Linked DNA regions of Arabidopsis thaliana. The protein of the gene in region 2 purifies or fractionates together with the protein of the main gene of each other region. This does not show direct contact. Each region holds a gene or a part of one and is shown on either strand. Other genes may lie near its edges.

Region 1 (7,020 bases), 7.3 Mb from region 2:
GGTTTCTTCCGGTTCACAAACGATCGATTCGCCGGATGAGAGAGTTGCTAGTTTGGTGACTGATATGATCCCTGATTGGTCTGTTACCAATAGCTGGGTCACCGTACGGTGACGATAGTGATTAAAAAACAGGGGACAAAAACAGAGTTGCAGAGAAAGACTAGAGCTTTTTTTTAATTCCTAGTCAGATCCAACAATTCTAATTTAATTCGTTGTATAAATATTTCTTATTAGAAATTGACTATTTATTTATATGTAAATACCAGTTTTGTATTCATGATCTCAAATCTTGATTCTCTTTAGTACTATATGGAAATTGTATTCATGACTCATGAGCCCATTATCTCGATTATCTTTCTCCATGAATGTGAATAAAGATCGTATATTCAGACATAATCACACGGAATAAGAGAATAAGTTTAACCAAAGAAGAAAAAAAACAAATCTTTTGCAAAGTAAAGATCAAGACTCTTGGACAAGGCTCGTGGCCACCACAGAACAGCTCACTTCAAACTCAGCTTCATCTTCATCAACCCAACTCACCAATCCATAAACCACGTTCTCTTGTAACCCTCTTGGACTCTCCAATCTCACAGTGTAGCTTAGCTTCTCGTTTTTCTCGCTGAACATTAGTTTCTTTGGCTCTACGACGACGTTTAGACCCTTCAAGCCTCTCACTCTCACGATGTAGCTTCTCTTTGCTTCTCCCACGTTTGTCAATGTCCTCTTAAAGATCTTGGGACTGCTTTGATCAGACGTGAAGTAGGCAATGATTGAAGGGTAATTGAGATATGGAGATGGCTTTTTACAAGCGTCGGAGATATTCGATCTCGTGATGATATTGATCAATTTTCTTGATTGTTTTGCCTCGTGACAAAGGAAGTTTATGAAATCTTGTGGAGTTGTATCATAGATTAGGCCAGGGTTTAAGACTTTGTTCGTACTCACATGCCCTGCTCCAACGGCTAATGGGTTGTCTAAAGTCAAAGCCGTTGTCATAATTGCAGATTTTATAGCCGATGGACTCCAATTTGGATGGACTTGCTTTATAAGCGCAGCGACTCCAGCTACATGAGGTGCAGCCATTGATGTCCCGGTTAAGAGATTGAATCCGCTGAATAACGGTAGTGCTCGAGTTCCGGTGATTTGCTCAACCGACGGCCAAGCAGAGAGTATAAGTGTCCCAGGAGCTAGAATGTCTGGTTTCAGGATTTGAGGGAAGCTTGTGAATGGACCCCTTGAGCTGTATGTGCCAACTTCTGGCGCTGGTTTTGTCCCGATTACCGTTTTACGAAACTCCAGCTTTGCGGTCGCGTTGTTTTTGTTGCTTGATGCGTAGCTTTCAATAGTTTCTCGGTGTTTTGAGCCGATGAATGCTACTGGAAACTGGAATTTTATTGTGTCTTGCTCCTCAAGTAACTTATCTGTTATTAAAACTACTGCTGCAGCTCCGGTGGATCTGATTTGATGAAGTTTGCTACCGATGTTTATGTTTTCGTTACAGACAACAATTCTGTTTGCGAGAGTCTTGTTTTCAACGCTGCCAGATTCGATGTAAGTTACTGGAAACTGAACCGAAGGGAACTCTCCAGGAAACAGAGATGGAAAACTGAAACTAACTCTGTTTCCAAACGTTAGGGTTCCTTGAAATTGCCTACCAATTGTTCCCGCTCCAACCGTCATAATCCACGGCGCTCCGTTAATCAAACTCCAGTAATATGGCCCGTCGTTACCGCCGGAAGTAACCACGAAAACGCCTTTTTGAATCGCTGCAAAAGATGCGACTGCGATTGGATCATTTTCTAGACCGAAACCATCATTGTCGTCATCATCCTCAAAACTCAATCCTAGCGACAGAGATATCACATGGACTCCATCTCGAATCGCTTGATCAATCGCTGCGATTACATCTGATGAGTAAATCCCTTCTTCCCACGCGGCTTTGTAGATTGCTAGATGCGCGTGTGGTGCGATTCCTGAGGCGGTTCCTTGGGCGTAAGAGAAGTAAGACGCGTTCTTAACATGATTCCCAGCTGCAATGGCTGCAACATGAGTGCCGTGTCCGATTGTATCGTACGGTGAAGAGTATTGGCCAATCTTGGTTTCTCTCAAATCAGGGTTGTTGGCGAACAAACCCTTGTTGAATACCTTAGCACCGATTAGTTTCTTGTTGCACAAGGAAGAAGAATTGAATTCACATGCTCCTTTCCATTTAGACGGAACCGAACCAACCCCATCGTCGTGAAAGCTGGGACTATCGGGCCAAATTCCGGTATCTATAATACCGATTACTATACCAGCTCCATAATTCGAGACCGGCCATGTACCGGATGTCGAATTTAAACCGATAAACTTTGGAGAGAAAGTGGTATGAAGCTTAACCGGTAAATCTTTGGTGAACGAGACATACCCGGGTTTGTGTTTAAGACGTTGGAGCTCAGAGTTGGTGAGAACCGCGCTAAACCCGTGAACCGAATCGGTATAAGCGTAGATAATCTTTGGTTTTCTATTGGTTATAACTGAAGTAAGAGTTGTGGAAAACCAGCTCCGATGATCGGAAAATGGCAACGGTTTAGCGGATAAGTCCATGTGGATGATGTAAGGAGAGGTCTCCGCCGTTACAATCGCTACGAAAAATGAGAACACCAGAATAATTACGACGGTCATCCCCATGTCTGAGCAAGTTTTTTTCTCTGGTCTCTTCAAAGTGAAATGAATTTTGGTGTTAGTAAGAAACAATTATAGTGTTGTTGTTAATAGATGTTTAGTTTTTATTATGACAAAAAAGTTGCAGAGAATGTAACCTTTACTTGGCTTTTGCTTTTGTTAAAGTGGTTTTAGGTGGTCGGCAACACATCATCTCTCATCATTGTTTTTTTTTCTTTTCTCTTTCAATTGGGCTTTATCATAGAGAACAATGATTTTGGATATGAACTTATTAGTAGTTTCAGCAATAGTTTAGACTTTCGAATCGGTAAATATCAGTAACTTAGAACTCAGGCTGAAACTTTGATTCTTTTACTGTATTTAGCTAGATTCTACACTTGGTGGACTCCATCAGCAATTACTTCACAGACCGAGGTAGCTCCTACAACTCTCTGATGCTTGATCTCGTTCAAATAGATGTCTCATAATTGCTTCTTTTTTGTTTTTGTTTTTGGGCTTTATTAAAGAGGAGTAAGGCCCATTAAGAGAACCCGTTTGTTTGTTGGATTCGGATTTGGCAAATGGATAGCGCCAAAATCGTGTCGATTTTCCCGCCATCTCCATTTCTTAATCTGGGTTCTTAAACCTAAATCAGTTACTCAGCTTCACCAAACCACCAAATTGACCGGATTTGTAAAAATGTCCGGCGATAATTCAACGGAAACTGGACGAAGACGTAGCCGAGGCGCGGAGGCGTCGAGTAGGAAAGACACACTCGAGCGTCTGAAGGCGATTCGACAAGGAGGAATCCGTTCTGCGTCAGGTGGTGGGTACGATATTAGGCTGCAGAAGCCAATCTTCGATACCGTTGATGACGAAGAGTACGACGCACTTGTTTCCCGGCGGCGCGAGGAGGCTCGCGGGTTTGTAGTTGAAGATGGGGAAGGTGGCGATTTGGGATATCTCGACGAAGGTGAGGAGGAGGATTGGTCGAAGCCAAGTGGACCAGAATCGACTGATGAATCAGACGACGGTGGTAGGTTTAGTGGGAGACTTAAGAAGAAGAAGAAAGGGAAAGAGCAAACGCAGCAACCTCAGGTTAAGAAGGTGAATCCGGCGTTAAAAGCTGCGGCTACTATCACTGGTGAAGGTAGACTTTCGTCTATGTTCACATCTTCGAGTTTCAAGAAAGTTAAGGAGACTGATAAGGCACAGTATGAGGGTATTCTTGACGAGATAATAGCTCAGGTTACTCCAGATGAGTCGGATAGAAAAAAGCATACGAGGAGAAAACTACCAGGTACTGTTCCAGTTACCATCTTCAAGAATAAAAAACTGTTTTCTGTTGCCTCGAGTATGGGAATGAAAGAGTCTGAACCAACACCTTCAACTTATGAGGGTGATTCTGTTTCCATGGATAATGAATTGATGAAAGAGGAAGATATGAAAGAATCTGAAGTCATTCCTTCTGAGACTATGGAATTACTTGGAAGTGATATTGTCAAAGAGGATGGATCAAACAAGATAAGGAAAACTGAAGTGAAGAGTGAGTTAGGTGTCAAGGAGGTATTTACATTGAATGCAACGATTGATATGAAAGAGAAGGATTCGGCTTTAAGTGCCACTGCTGGTTGGAAGGAAGCGATGGGAAAAGTTGGAACTGAGAATGGGGCTTTGCTTGGTTCTAGTTCTGAAGGGAAAACGGAATTTGATTTGGATGCTGACGGATCACTTCGTTTCTTCATTCTTGACGCTTATGAGGAGGCTTTTGGTGCGAGCATGGGCACAATATATCTGTTTGGGAAGGTGAATCTCTAGATTTTTCATTCATTTTTAAAGTTGTTCTTTTGGCCTTAATCTAGAGAATGAATTCGGTCTCTCTTTTTTTAACAATTCAGGTTAAAATGGGAGATACTTACAAGAGTTGCTGTGTGGTAGTTAAGAATATCCAGAGGTGTGTTTATGCTATTCCAAATGATTCCATATTTCCTTCCCATGAACTAATCATGCTCGAGCAAGAGGTGAAAGACTCTCGACTTTCTCCTGAATCCTTCCGTGGGAAATTGCATGTGAGTTTGACTACCTTTGTTACATGCTAAGAGGAAGCAATCTATTTTCCTCTGTTGTTCATTGTTTTTGGCTGTGTCTTCTCAGGAAATGGCATCAAAACTGAAAAACGAAATTGCTCAGGAATTGTTACAGCTCAATGTTTCAAATTTTAGCATGGCGCCTGTCAAGGTTTGGATATTTGACTTCTTTTTCATGTATTCTAGCAGCAATACTTTTCTTTTGACTCTCTATTCTGCTCTTTATGTACGAATATCAGAGAAACTATGCTTTTGAGAGGCCTGATGTGCCTGCTGGCGAACAATATGTTTTGAAGATAAATTATTCATTTAAGGTACATTTCAGCTGTTCAAAATAAAACTAAAAATCGTCTGTTTTCTTACATCTCAACAATATGACAAGTTTCCTCTTTTATAACAGGATCGTCCACTTCCAGAAGATCTTAAAGGCGAGTCTTTCTCCGCTTTGCTCGGGTCTCATACCAGGTTCTAGCTTCTTACTGCTGAGTTTCATTACCTTTCCATGTGTTTGGTAGTTGGTTTGTTAAGTTTGTATTTTCTGGTCTTCTGTAAGCTTCTTAGTTAACTATGTATGCTGGCTATGTCAATTTAGCACGGTGCAATTTTTTCATCCTTATCAAAGTTAATTCATATGCAGTGCTTTGGAGCATTTTATCCTTAAGAGGAAGATCATGGGACCTTGTTGGCTCAAAATTTCAAGCTTCTCTACTTGCTCTCCTTCGGAAGGAGTAAGACCTTAAATCTGTGCCATAATCATATAATCAGTGATTTTTCTAGTTCTGTTTATCTCCGCTAATGAGAGGACTTGCCACTTGTGCAGGTGAGTTGGTGCAAGTTTGAGGTTACTGTTCAATCTCCCAAGGATATCACTATTTTAGTTTCAGAGGAAAAGGTGGTTCACCCTCCTGCTGTTGTTACAGCCATAAATTTAAAGACTATAGTCAATGAAAAGCAGAACATAAGCGAAATTGTTTCTGCATCTGTTCTCTGCTTTCACAACGCCAAGGTTTGTTCTACAACATTTAACCAATGCTTCTTAGCCTTTTTTGTTGTTGTTGTTGTTGTCTTTGTGAAGAATACGGATGTATGATCATGGCATTACCAATCACCAGTAGGTTTTCGTACCATGTGGTTTTATATTAACGCTCATTTTGGACGATTGTTTCTTGCTCAAAAGACACTCTTTCTGTCTACATTAGTAGCTTGACATATGATGTGCGTGCTCCTTGATCTTTCAGATTGATGTTCCAATGCCAGCTCCAGAAAGAAAGAGATCTGGTATTCTGAGTCATTTCACTGTTGTTAGGAATCCTGAAGGAACCGGTTACCCAATTGGTTGGAAAAAAGAAGTGTCTGACAGAAATTCAAAGAACGGCTGCAATGTATTAAGTATTGAAAACAGGTGTGTTGCAGCTCTGTTACTGAATAGGCTGTGTTTGTGATCCTTCACATATATCTTTGGCAATTCATGTTGGCTTCGTCCAATATTTTGTTCCTTTTCTTACTGCAGTGAAAGAGCATTGCTGAACCGATTGTTTTTGGAGTTAAACAAATTGGACAGTGATATTCTTGTGGGACATAATATTTCAGGTTTTGATCTGGATGTTCTTCTTCAAAGGGCCCAGGTAAAGCAAAATCTCTTTTTACCATTAAGAAAAATGGTTGTGTCTTTCATTTTATTTTATTTTCTTATCTTTCTATGATATGCTTCATATTAGTTTTGTAAGATCTTGTCTTTCCAGGCCTATTAGATGATATTTAACGTAATAAGCCAGCAAGTTTTTATTTCATGCATTGTACATCATTAGTCCCTTTTCCAGTCTCTCCTGTTGTGATGATCATGTAATAGAGATATATACATGTCTGTCTTGTTCTTTAAACTGAATGATTACTATTGTGCAGGCTTGCAAAGTTCAGAGTAGCATGTGGTCCAAAATTGGCCGACTCAAACGCTCTTTTATGCCTAAGCTTAAAGGAAACAGTAATTATGGGTCAGGAGCTACACCAGGGCTCATGTCTTGTATTGCTGGAAGGCTCTTGTGTGATACAGATCTGTGTTCTCGTGACTTGTTGAAGGAGGTATGATACCCTTGCAGGTCTTGTAAGCAGTAAGTTGAAGCTCAGTCCCTCATGTATAAGCATCTGTTTCTTGCAGGTCAGTTATTCTTTAACGGACCTCTCAAAGACACAGCTGAACCGGGACAGGAAAGAGATAGCGCCTAATGATATTCCCAAAATGTTTCAGTCATCCAAAACACTTGTGGAACTTGTAAGTTCTTCGATGAGC
Region 2 (10,043 bases):
CGGGGATCGAAGATGTAACGGTTGTAAAGCAACTCCGAAACAGAAGCAAAAGCAAGGGGATATAAGACATGACGGTTATATGTCTATTTGGTTTGTATCAAAATCAGAGTCGTTTGCTCGGTAAAAATCAAATTCAAGTTGGCATAACCAATTGGGAATTTCCGAATAATACAACAACAGAAATCTTATACTTATAACAAAAGACAAGAGGCAGCTTGTGGTGGTGTAGAAGAAGATGTTGTTCTGGAGCAATTCTAGTTTATGTCTCTGCAAAGCCGGCCCTGACAATATAAAGGACACAAAGCCCAATTGGTCATTAAAACTCTGTTTACAAAACGACAATAAATAGAAAAAAATACTTGAATTGTCCCCTTAGGTTACATACTTACATGGAACCAGAAGCGAAACGTTTGGAAACTCTTCTTTTTGTTTGGTAAAAGTACGCTTGCATGCTAAGACGTCCAAATCTTTTTTGTATAATTTACCTTAAAACTACATTCAAAATTGTCAAACTTTTTATATGATGAGAATATAATGAGAATCATTGACAAAAAAAACTGGAATTCAACTGGTCTTGAGAAATCAATGAACAAATATTACAAAGTTTTTGACAAGAATTTTAAAATCAATGATCTAATAACACCTATAATTTTGTTTGAATTTCGAAATTATTTAAAATTCGCTGACCAATAAACTCTTCTAAAGACTACTCAACTAAAGTGTAAGTGTCACTCACTGTATCACAAATGTTAGATGGTATTGGTTGGTATGCGTTAAATGTGTCACAAGACACTGATTCGCTGGCTCTCTAACAAATGTCACAAATGTAAAAAAGAATATTACTTTGAAGAAGATAACTTGGCTTCGTTAATCTCTCAATTCAACTTCAGAATATGTTACTTCCGGATGTGATTGACGCCCTGATTTTGACAATGATCAGAATTATTTCACAAGATAGTGATTAAAAGCCGCAATTACGAAAAAGATAACTGATGAGTTTTACGTTACTAACCAAGCCTGTCTGCACCTAATAGCTTCTTCTCGAACTTTCCGTTTCGGATCATCGAGTGACTTTTCTATTGCTTGTAAAACCTTGAAATAAATTCCAAAGTCATTAGACACATTTCTTACTCTACACTAAAAACATGTGGGTTAGATCTTTTAACTAACCTCTCTTCTGAAAGGATAAATCCTTCTATGCGGCAATTCCAACAACGCAACAAGACACTGAATTGATGTTTCTCTAACAACCTGCATACCATTTAACGTGGACATATTATCATTAGAAGATTCAAGAATCAATTCCGTTGGAAAAAACGAAGATGCTATAGAAAAGAAAATGATTTGTCACCATTAGATGCGGATATGATGTAAGCTTGATCAGGCATTCGATGATTATATGTGCATTATCACTGGCAGATTGTTGTCCTGCAAACAGATCAAATGGTTAATTCTCGGCAAAATTGAATATAAAATGTCTTTTTGAGGCTTATCAACTATTGCATTAACTCAACCATATACACAATCCCTATTATCAGTGGGCGCAAACGAATTTGAATCATATAAGAATTGTTTGATCTTCAACAAATGAAGCAAGATTTTATATAATGCAATAAGCTTTTGTATCCCAGCATCTAACTTTTCTTACCCTTAGTATCAGTAAGCGTTCCAGATAAAACCAGTAATAGACTGAAAAGAGTTTCTTTCTCCACAGAGTCCAAGCTTAAGACAGACAAGCCTTCCAGTATCAACGGTTGTAGCTGCACAGACCAATGTCTAATAAGAAACTGTTTAAAAAGGTACAAAAGACAAAGTCTAAATTAAGGCTCACCTTTTTGGTATTGTCCAATATGACTGTTACCGGAACATTGGATATAACATGAGCGAGAGCTACATGCAACATTGTTCTGAAAAAAAATGAAGAAACCAGTCAGCTGAGAATCAAATTTGTTGTTTGTCACAATAAACTGTAACTTGCCTATTTATGATATGTACTTGAAACTTGGAGCAACAACGAAGCCTAAACTAGTATGAGTTTATGTGGTAGCTACATCTAACCAAAATTAAACTAACAATCTTCAAGAGGTCTTCTTATTCTTCCAGAAAGGAACACTAAAACGGTTCTTGTGGGTGCAATTGCATTCTAGGGAAATGACATAGAAGGACTTAATGATGAAGACAGAGTACACACAAGAGCACCAAAGATGCTAATGACCAAACATTTTTCTATGAAAGAGTAGAACTATAAAAGAGTAACAATAAATATACTTAAAGATATATTTACCTCGATAGTGAAGTCTGGGAATTCATAATCAAAGACTCCAAAATGGGAACTATCGTAGAGAAACACCGCTGTTTATAGAGTGGTCGTATAACTGCATGGAATTTTCTGTTCAGACACACTTCCGAATCAGACATTATTATAGAGAATGCATCTGCTGCATGTTTCATGGCAGAAGGATGCAGCGCATGCCCAGAACAGTTATTGGATTTTAAACACTCTACTAGCACCAGAGCTATTTCATTAACTCTTTCATTGCCCCGCATGAGTAAACCTTTCCCAATCCATGCTAGTCCTGTGATTGCACGGGTTTGAAGGTCCAGAGAACCACAGTAACCTAAACATATCTTTGACATGGTTGTCTCACTTCCAACTATAATTTTAGCAGATCCATTAGAAGAAATCTTTTTTCCCGATGCAAAATCTGCGTGAAATATTATAGCACATGCTTCTTCCAAGGAACAATCCCTTGAGGTATTTGTTCCACCAGAACCCGAGCCCAATTTGTTAACCATTGAACCCAAAGCTTGAGCTGCTGGGATATAACCCTTAAGAAGTGTTACCAAAAGCAGATGTATAAGTGATTTCGCATCTGGAATGGATGCTGAGGGGGACGCAGCTATGATAACTGATGCAAATAGTGAAAGTATCAATTCATCCCTAGAGGACAAGTCACGCTGTAGACCCTCTAATGCAACAAAGGTCAAAGGAATAGACTCCATAGCTGGAAGCGTACAAGATGATACCACACTATAAGCTTTTTGGATTATACTGTTCTGTGAATCTACCAAAGCAATTCCTACAACTTGCCTCATCGTTGTCATCGCTGCCTCAACAAACTCCTGTTATAGAAGAGCAAATAAATTCATGACATCAAAAATAAATAAACCAAATCGAGTTCGAAGAGAAACAAAGAGTCTAAAGTTCATCTGAGCACTTACCCTACCATTAAAATCACAACTGAAAACTCCACAAAATTCAATTTGTTTCCACATACTGATAGCGAAATGCACCAAGAGTTGCTCGAGACCATCTATCTCAGCCACACTAATTGAGATCAGAACAAAATTCCACGAGTCAAAAGGACATGCAAAAGAGGAACGAAGAATATTGTTCTTGGCAGAGAGAAGGCATAGAGAAAAAGAATCTCCAATCAGATAAAAAACAGTGGAGCCATACACATGGATGCACCACAAATGTTTTTAAGTTTTCATCTTTGGAACGATAAAATTTGTAAATGAAGGAAAAAGACACAAAGAGGTCTCTATTTTGTAAAGGAATAATAGAAAAGACACTCGTGCTATTGCATTGCTTGTTGGTTTCCATGTGCTTATTATAACTCTCTGTTAGGTGAATGTGCCATCTATAGTTGTTTTCTATGTCTATTATAAAATCTTGACGGATTCTACCGAGTTACAAGGGGTTGACTAAGGGGAATAACACAATGAACCTGAACAGAGAGAACCTAAATACGCTACCAAAGTATGGCAGTTAACAAGTTGTATCATCCAGAATAGTTGGCTGTTTACGAACAACTAAAAGTCTAGATACTCACGCTGGCAAAGCTAGTTTATCTATGAGATAAAATAAATTCAAGAAAAGTTTGGGTACCGTGGAAGCAATTTGTTGGTCAAACACTTCAGGAGCTGAGAGCAATTGTCAATTGACTCGAAGTTTCCATTGACCTGACAAGTGGTTTCCAAATAGAAGTTAGATACAAGGAAGCTCTCGATCTGTTGCTTGTTGGAGATAGAAACTGTTAGATCAAATATAAGTGAAAACTTTATGGTCTAGTCACGGGGGTAACACATACATAGAAATCAGACAAACTGGAACAAAAAGCTTCTTCCAATCCTTGAACCATTTTCTCCACATACTTTGGTCCAGTGGAGCAAACTTCTGAAGTTGCTTCTAATATCATCTGATATGGAAGACCACAATGACTAGAACAGGCCAATGAGACCAAATTGTCGACAACTATACTCATGTAGCTCATAGCCTTGTCACTCTCATGATACCGATCAATAAATGAGCCGATACAGACCAGTGCCTTCAATGCCAATTCCCACACCACTGTTTTGCCACTCTTGGCTGTAATGATTGATGTTAATGTCACCAAAATATTCTCGAATTCGGTTCTCGATACAGGAGAAGAGCCGCCCCGAAACATACCCATAGTCAGCAAACCCTTAACTGTATTCATTAACAAAATAAATCATTTAGATAATAGGAATAAGAACATGGTAACCTAGAAAAAATTGTAGACCGAGTTCAGTATTAAGAAAAGACGGCAAGAACCACAAGATGGTGATATATCTATTAAGTAACCACAAGCATTCACCTCCAAGATATACATCCACAACAGAATCATCATTCGAGCGGCATACTGCAGAAGTGAACACCTGGATCAATGGAACTGAGAAGCTTTTCACCATAGAGCACCCTGAGTTTGCACATCCAGATGTTGGAGAACATTCCTCGAAACCCAGAATAAGATCTTTTGATGCTGCAAGAAGTTCAATGCATAGATGAAGACCTCCATGGTAGAGTCTGGTAGAGACTGTAGAGTTTCCGTTTTGAACAACATCGCCAGTAGAAGTTTTCTCTACAATCCCTAGAGTATTCATAAGGCGGAAAAATATGGCTTCAAAGATTATATTGCATGACTGAACCGAAGCTTTGGCAGAAACAGACAGTATCTGACTGATAACAAGAACCTCCAGTTTGCTTGGGTCAGGCATTTCTTTATACTGAGGGTATCTATAGATGGTATCAAAGACTGTGTTTATGCGTGTATCATCAACTACAAAACCTAAAAACGAGATATCTTGCTTAACAAGCCTCTGAAGAAGACTAACAGCATCTCTGTGGATCTCATTCATTTCAAACCCTGGACTAGTGAGGGATTCTATAGCAAATGACAAATGTGTCCCAGTAGAGGAATAAAATGTATCTTTCAAAGCAGACCAAAGAGCTCCATAGTGCTTCTTCATTCTGTCTACTCCATATTTCAAAGCGCAATCTTTCAGACATTTCAAAGAATCAACCTATACAGGTTTGAGTGGAACAAAAATAACTACACTTGTCCAACATCCGGAGTGGCATATAATCTAGATGTATTAACAGAAAACTACATGTTAAACGCACCTTTGCGACTGGTAGAGAAGAAGAAAGCTTTTCAAGAAGCAACGGAATAGCATACGGTTCAAAGAAAGGTGTCGAAGAGATCGCCAGCTGCAAATTGAATAAAGTACATCAGTGAATAAATTTAACCTAATGTTATACATTTATATATATATAAACAGGATTTATCATAATTCTCCCATTTTTAACCTAATACCATTTCAGCCATGCTTGAAACTGCAAGCCATACTTAGATGTAGAAAACAAAAATTAGTATTTCCATCTTCAAGGCATCTGTGCCCTCAGAAGCAGAGAAGCATATAAATTACCAGAGACAGGACAAGTCACTGTACTTTGCCTAACAGCTTTCAAAGAATGGACATGATATGCGAAATAGCTTTTCAGTCTAATCTTCATACCATTTTCTAAGGGTCTAAAACATTTTATTTTTAAGGAACTCCAAACCAGAATGATCAACTGATATTTAACCTTGAGAAACTAAGCCATTGAGCCACAATAAGCCAGCAAGAACTTTATGCAAATCATGAATTATGACACAATACTCACCAGTAGTCCCCTTGAGAGATCCTCTCTTCTAATATTAGCTTCGTCATCTTTTGTCTAATTAACCCAAAAAAAGAGCACACTAAACAGTTTAGTGAAAGAAAGAGAAACCCATCTATATAGCACATCATAAAAAGGATAGGCTTTAAACTCACATGCGTAAAATGAAGTGGGAAGTAGCAACCAATAACTTCAAAAAGATCAGATGCATCAGAAGCGAGTGGACCAGAAGGACTGGGGAACAAAGGAGCCAAAAGCTCTACTAGATGAAAAACTATCATTAAGCATTGAGGATCTTTTTCTCCGTCGATGGCTTCACACATAGCATAAACAAGTAGATCACCCTAGGAAATGGCCGTTTAGTCAATAGGATTACAAGAAAGTGAGGAAAGGTCCCGAGTAGTATTACAAATTTGGATACATATAAATAATTATTTGTCTTCCTACAAAGCTGACTCAAATAGATTTCCAAGAAAACATTCCTCACACAGTAGATCGAATGTTTAATTCTGAACTAAGTAGAGAGCATTAGCATACCATAGTCAAAATAGCTTCAGAATGTTGTTGTAAAAGGCACTCCAGAAGTTCAAAAGCGAGCTGCAAAGTCATTTAGCAGAAGATAATGAAAAAACCATCCAGCGTAGAACACAATCATTCAGATTAGATAACAGAATACTACAAATAACCGCTTCATACTTTGCGCTCATGCAGTGCTAAAGCTTGCACTTGCACATTCTGTATCATTGACTTCGCCATAGCTTGTACATCGATATCAGTAACCACACCAGCTACATCTTTCCTCTTCAGTAGAGCCAAACAACCAACAAGCGCCCCGCACATCGCTCTCCAATCTGCCTGATTCAAGTACAACAATCGTTTCACTTCTATGTTAAAACAATTGAATAGACACATTGGAATCGAGTATAATCAAACTTAAGAAGTATCAAATTACCAGCTTTTCGGAAAAGAATCCAACGAGCGTATGAACTATTGTATCGTTCAACGGCTTTGCTTTCAAACAATCGAGAATCTCCGCAAGCAGGAGAATACCTATAGTTATGAACACACCAATGTCCAATTGCGTTCAAATTGATAAGCTCATTAAACTAAGCTAGTGAATCGAAATACCTCGTGCTCGAACGAGGTTATCGGTTGTTGTCAAATACATCTCCATCTCTCTAACCTAAACATTAGCAATACAGAAATAAGCCAACAACACAAATAAAGCCTACGGAAGAATATTCAGAAGTTGTCAAGTGAGTGGAAATTGTTACCAATTGGGTAATAGATAAAGAATCATTCTCCAAAGAAGAAGCAATTGCTTTAAGACTATCATCCTGAAAACAAAATTAAACTTGGTGAATCAATGAAACTGTTGTTCTAAGTCTCAAAATTGATCAAAAGGTACCTGTTGAGAAGAGGAACGATTAGTGTCAACAAAAGTTTCGAGATGTTGAACGAGCTGATTCGGTTCTACCATCATCGCTACAAAAAGGGTTTTTAGGGTTTTTGATTTCTGAGGAGAGAGAGCTTCGCGAGCTCCGACGAAAAGAGGAAGAGAGGACAAAAAAAGAGCCGCCAAAGGAAGTGAAGGAGGAGGAAAACGAAGTGGTATTTTTGTAATTTAGATGAAAAATTATCGATATAACGTGGCGGATGTACATTGGTCGCTGAGTGTAAATATAGGCTCGCTTTGTTTTTGTTTTTACTTTTGGGCTTCTGATTATTTGGGCTGTTAGGCAATTTCCATGTTGTTGGGCCTGATCCCAAGAAATTAGAAATAGTACTTCGCTGGTTTTGGTATGAATTGCAGGAACTTTGTGCTGATGAATAGCATAAACCAAGTTTTAAGAATTAAGAGTGATTTTTTTTTTGTCAAAAAAAAAAAGAATAAAGAGTGATCAATTTTTTTTAAGGGAATTAACCGAATTTAGTCGTTTACGTGTTTTATTTATTTACGTATTGATTCTTTATGTCCTTTAGAGTTCAAATTTAAAGCTAACCGTTTAGGGCGTTTTCTAGAATTTGTAATGTTTCATATTGTTTTTGTTGGCATTTCTTTATCTATGTGGTTTAATAGAGTACACTTTAAATAACTTAAAGATAGCATAGAATACTAAAAATATTGCTGTCATTTTTACCAAAAAATCTATGTTAGCCTTTTTTTTTTTTGTCGACAAATCTATGTTAGTCTAGTAAATCCATTTAAATCTATGTTACATGTGTGTCAATATAAGTAATTCTCTAATAATTTCCTACTTTAGCCTCCTTTTCCCTGTTTTCTATGAGCGAATTCTTCCTAAGTAAGCAATACAGTACTTCGATTTCCTCTCTTGATTTTCTCGTAATGTACGATGGTTGCAAAAATATATATTTATATTCGTAGAAATACTCAAATCACTATTAATTAACGTATATTACATAACTCGAAGACCAGATCGTAACATCATAAATAAGCGTCACCAAAATGTCTGGTTAGAACTATTTAGAGTCTTGTTACAGTTAATGCATGAAAAAGAAAGAAAGTGTTGGAGTAAAAAACAAAAATGTTGTTGAAAAAAGCGAAGAAAAAATGTTATAATACAAGATTTTTCAACTCTTCTCAACACTCGAGGAACGTCGTCTTCAACTTCTTGCCTTGAATTTTGAGATCTTCTTTTTGAGCTCAACACTCGTGCGCATCTGACTTTGACCCAACATCTACTACGCATATATGTGTGTGTGCCTGCATGCAAGTAGCCATATTATAGTTTAATGTTTGATAAAAACGAAAACCAAAAGAAACTTTCTTTTTCTCAAATCTTCCTTAGCGTCCTCTTGTTTCGTGGATCCTAGAACCCTTTTTCTTCCTCTTCAATCCCCAAAACACGCAACTTTCTTCTTCAAAAATATAATAGTGAAGAAGAATAAATGAACGACCAAATGTCTCCAGTTTCATCATACCATATTGGTTTTGATATACTTTATCTACTTAGTTTTCACAATTTATATACTCAATAATGGAAACTTTCAGCCTCAAGGATTGTTCGTCCGTCGCCTCCAGCCCGATTTCTTCTCCAAATATCAGTACCCTTTTGAAAATCAAAGTTCTTTCTTGGTATGAATCTCAAGACTATCTTCGTGATGTCATATAACAAATCTGAATTATTCATGTTGTAGACTTATGTAATGTAACTGTGTGTGTGTGTGTCACAGGAGTAAAGAGACCGGTCTACCCGCGTCAGTACATGTTCGAGTTTGCAACAAGAGTTTTAACCTTCACAAGGTAATAATGATAATCAAATCTCTCTCTCAAGAAATTCTGTTTTCAACCAATACATGTAGCTTAGTGGTTTTTGTTAATATAATGCCTTACTTTTTTTGTTTATCTTTTGTAGAGTCTCTTGTGTGCAAAGAGCGGATATTTTAAGGAAAGAGAGGATCAGCTATCGGAGATCGAGATACCACAAGAGTTTCCTGGTGGAGCAGAGACCTTTGAGAAGATTATGCTTTTCATTTATGGCTGTCCAACTTTAATACATCCTTTCAACATCGCTGGACTACGATGTGCAGCTCAATTTCTTGAAATGACAGAGCAACATTCGACGGGTAACCTCTGCGAGAGATTTGACCTTTATCTAAACCAAGTTGTCTTGCAAAACTGGGATGACACGTTAGTTGTTCTGAAGAAATGTCAGGATCTAGTGCCTTGGTCTGAAGATCTACTCATCGTGAGCCGGTGCATTGAGTCTCTGGCTTTCACGGCTTGTATGGAGATTCTCGATCCCGAAAGACGAAGAGAAAAGCCAGTCATCATGCTTGAAGGTATGGTGAATCAACCATGGGAATATACAAACATAGAGAGAATAATAAACCAAGATACTTGGATCAAAGACCTCACGGATCTTCCATTCGAATTCTTCAAAAAGATTATTGGGTCGCTTAGAAGACAAGGTATGAAAGAAAGATATGTAAGTCCATTGGTCGCCCTTTACGCCAGTAAATCTGTAATACCTGAAGGTCAAACTAATACTGATATTCTGCAAAGAGCTCTAGATCTGCTTCTTACAAGAGACAAGGCATATAGGTTTGTTCC

Evidence for each region.
Region 1: the proteins of MET18 (region 2) and ICU2 purify together in Arabidopsis thaliana (affinity purification with western blotting, with the first as the bait; one study listed by BioGRID). This does not show direct contact.

Annotation. Positions count from the first base shown.
Region 1 is NC_003076.8:26,773,649-26,780,668, forward strand, and holds the start of ICU2 (DNA-directed DNA polymerase), read left to right. Parts: upstream 1-3,304; 5' UTR 3,305-3,345; coding exon 3,346-4,452; intron 4,453-4,544; coding exon 4,545-4,715; intron 4,716-4,800; coding exon 4,801-4,884; intron 4,885-4,972; coding exon 4,973-5,047; intron 5,048-5,133; coding exon 5,134-5,198; intron 5,199-5,370; coding exon 5,371-5,461; intron 5,462-5,553; coding exon 5,554-5,739; intron 5,740-5,971; coding exon 5,972-6,135; intron 6,136-6,243; coding exon 6,244-6,358; intron 6,359-6,635; coding exon 6,636-6,812; intron 6,813-6,888; coding exon 6,889-7,002; intron 7,003-7,020. Other genes in the region: MAPKKK19 (mitogen-activated protein kinase kinase kinase 19), read left to right, coding at 1-112; AT5G67090 (Subtilisin-like serine endopeptidase family protein), read right to left, coding at 463-2,673. UniProt on the Arabidopsis thaliana protein: Polymerase alpha in a complex with DNA primase is a replicative polymerase.
Region 2 is NC_003076.8:19,507,324-19,517,366, forward strand, and holds MET18 (ARM repeat superfamily protein), read right to left. Parts: upstream 7,573-10,043; 5' UTR 7,452-7,572; coding exon 7,377-7,451; intron 7,306-7,376; coding exon 7,243-7,305; intron 7,152-7,242; coding exon 7,097-7,151; intron 7,019-7,096; coding exon 6,921-7,018; intron 6,824-6,920; coding exon 6,665-6,823; intron 6,566-6,664; coding exon 6,506-6,565; intron 6,313-6,505; coding exon 6,124-6,312; intron 6,026-6,123; coding exon 5,972-6,025; intron 5,516-5,971; coding exon 5,429-5,515; intron 5,329-5,428; coding exon 4,623-5,328; intron 4,475-4,622; coding exon 4,095-4,474; intron 3,967-4,094; coding exon 3,893-3,966; intron 3,329-3,892; coding exon 3,223-3,328; intron 3,124-3,222; coding exon 2,285-3,123; intron 1,908-2,284; coding exon 1,832-1,907; intron 1,761-1,831; coding exon 1,649-1,760; intron 1,429-1,648; coding exon 1,352-1,428; intron 1,252-1,351; coding exon 1,171-1,251; intron 1,093-1,170; coding exon 1,013-1,092; intron 921-1,012; and 8 more. Other genes in the region: AT5G48130 (Phototropic-responsive NPH3 family protein), read left to right, coding at 8,968-9,065, 9,164-9,233, 9,346-10,043. UniProt on the Arabidopsis thaliana protein: May select specific target apoproteins to which a Fe-S cluster produced by the cytosolic iron-sulfur (Fe-S) protein assembly (CIA) pathway is transferred.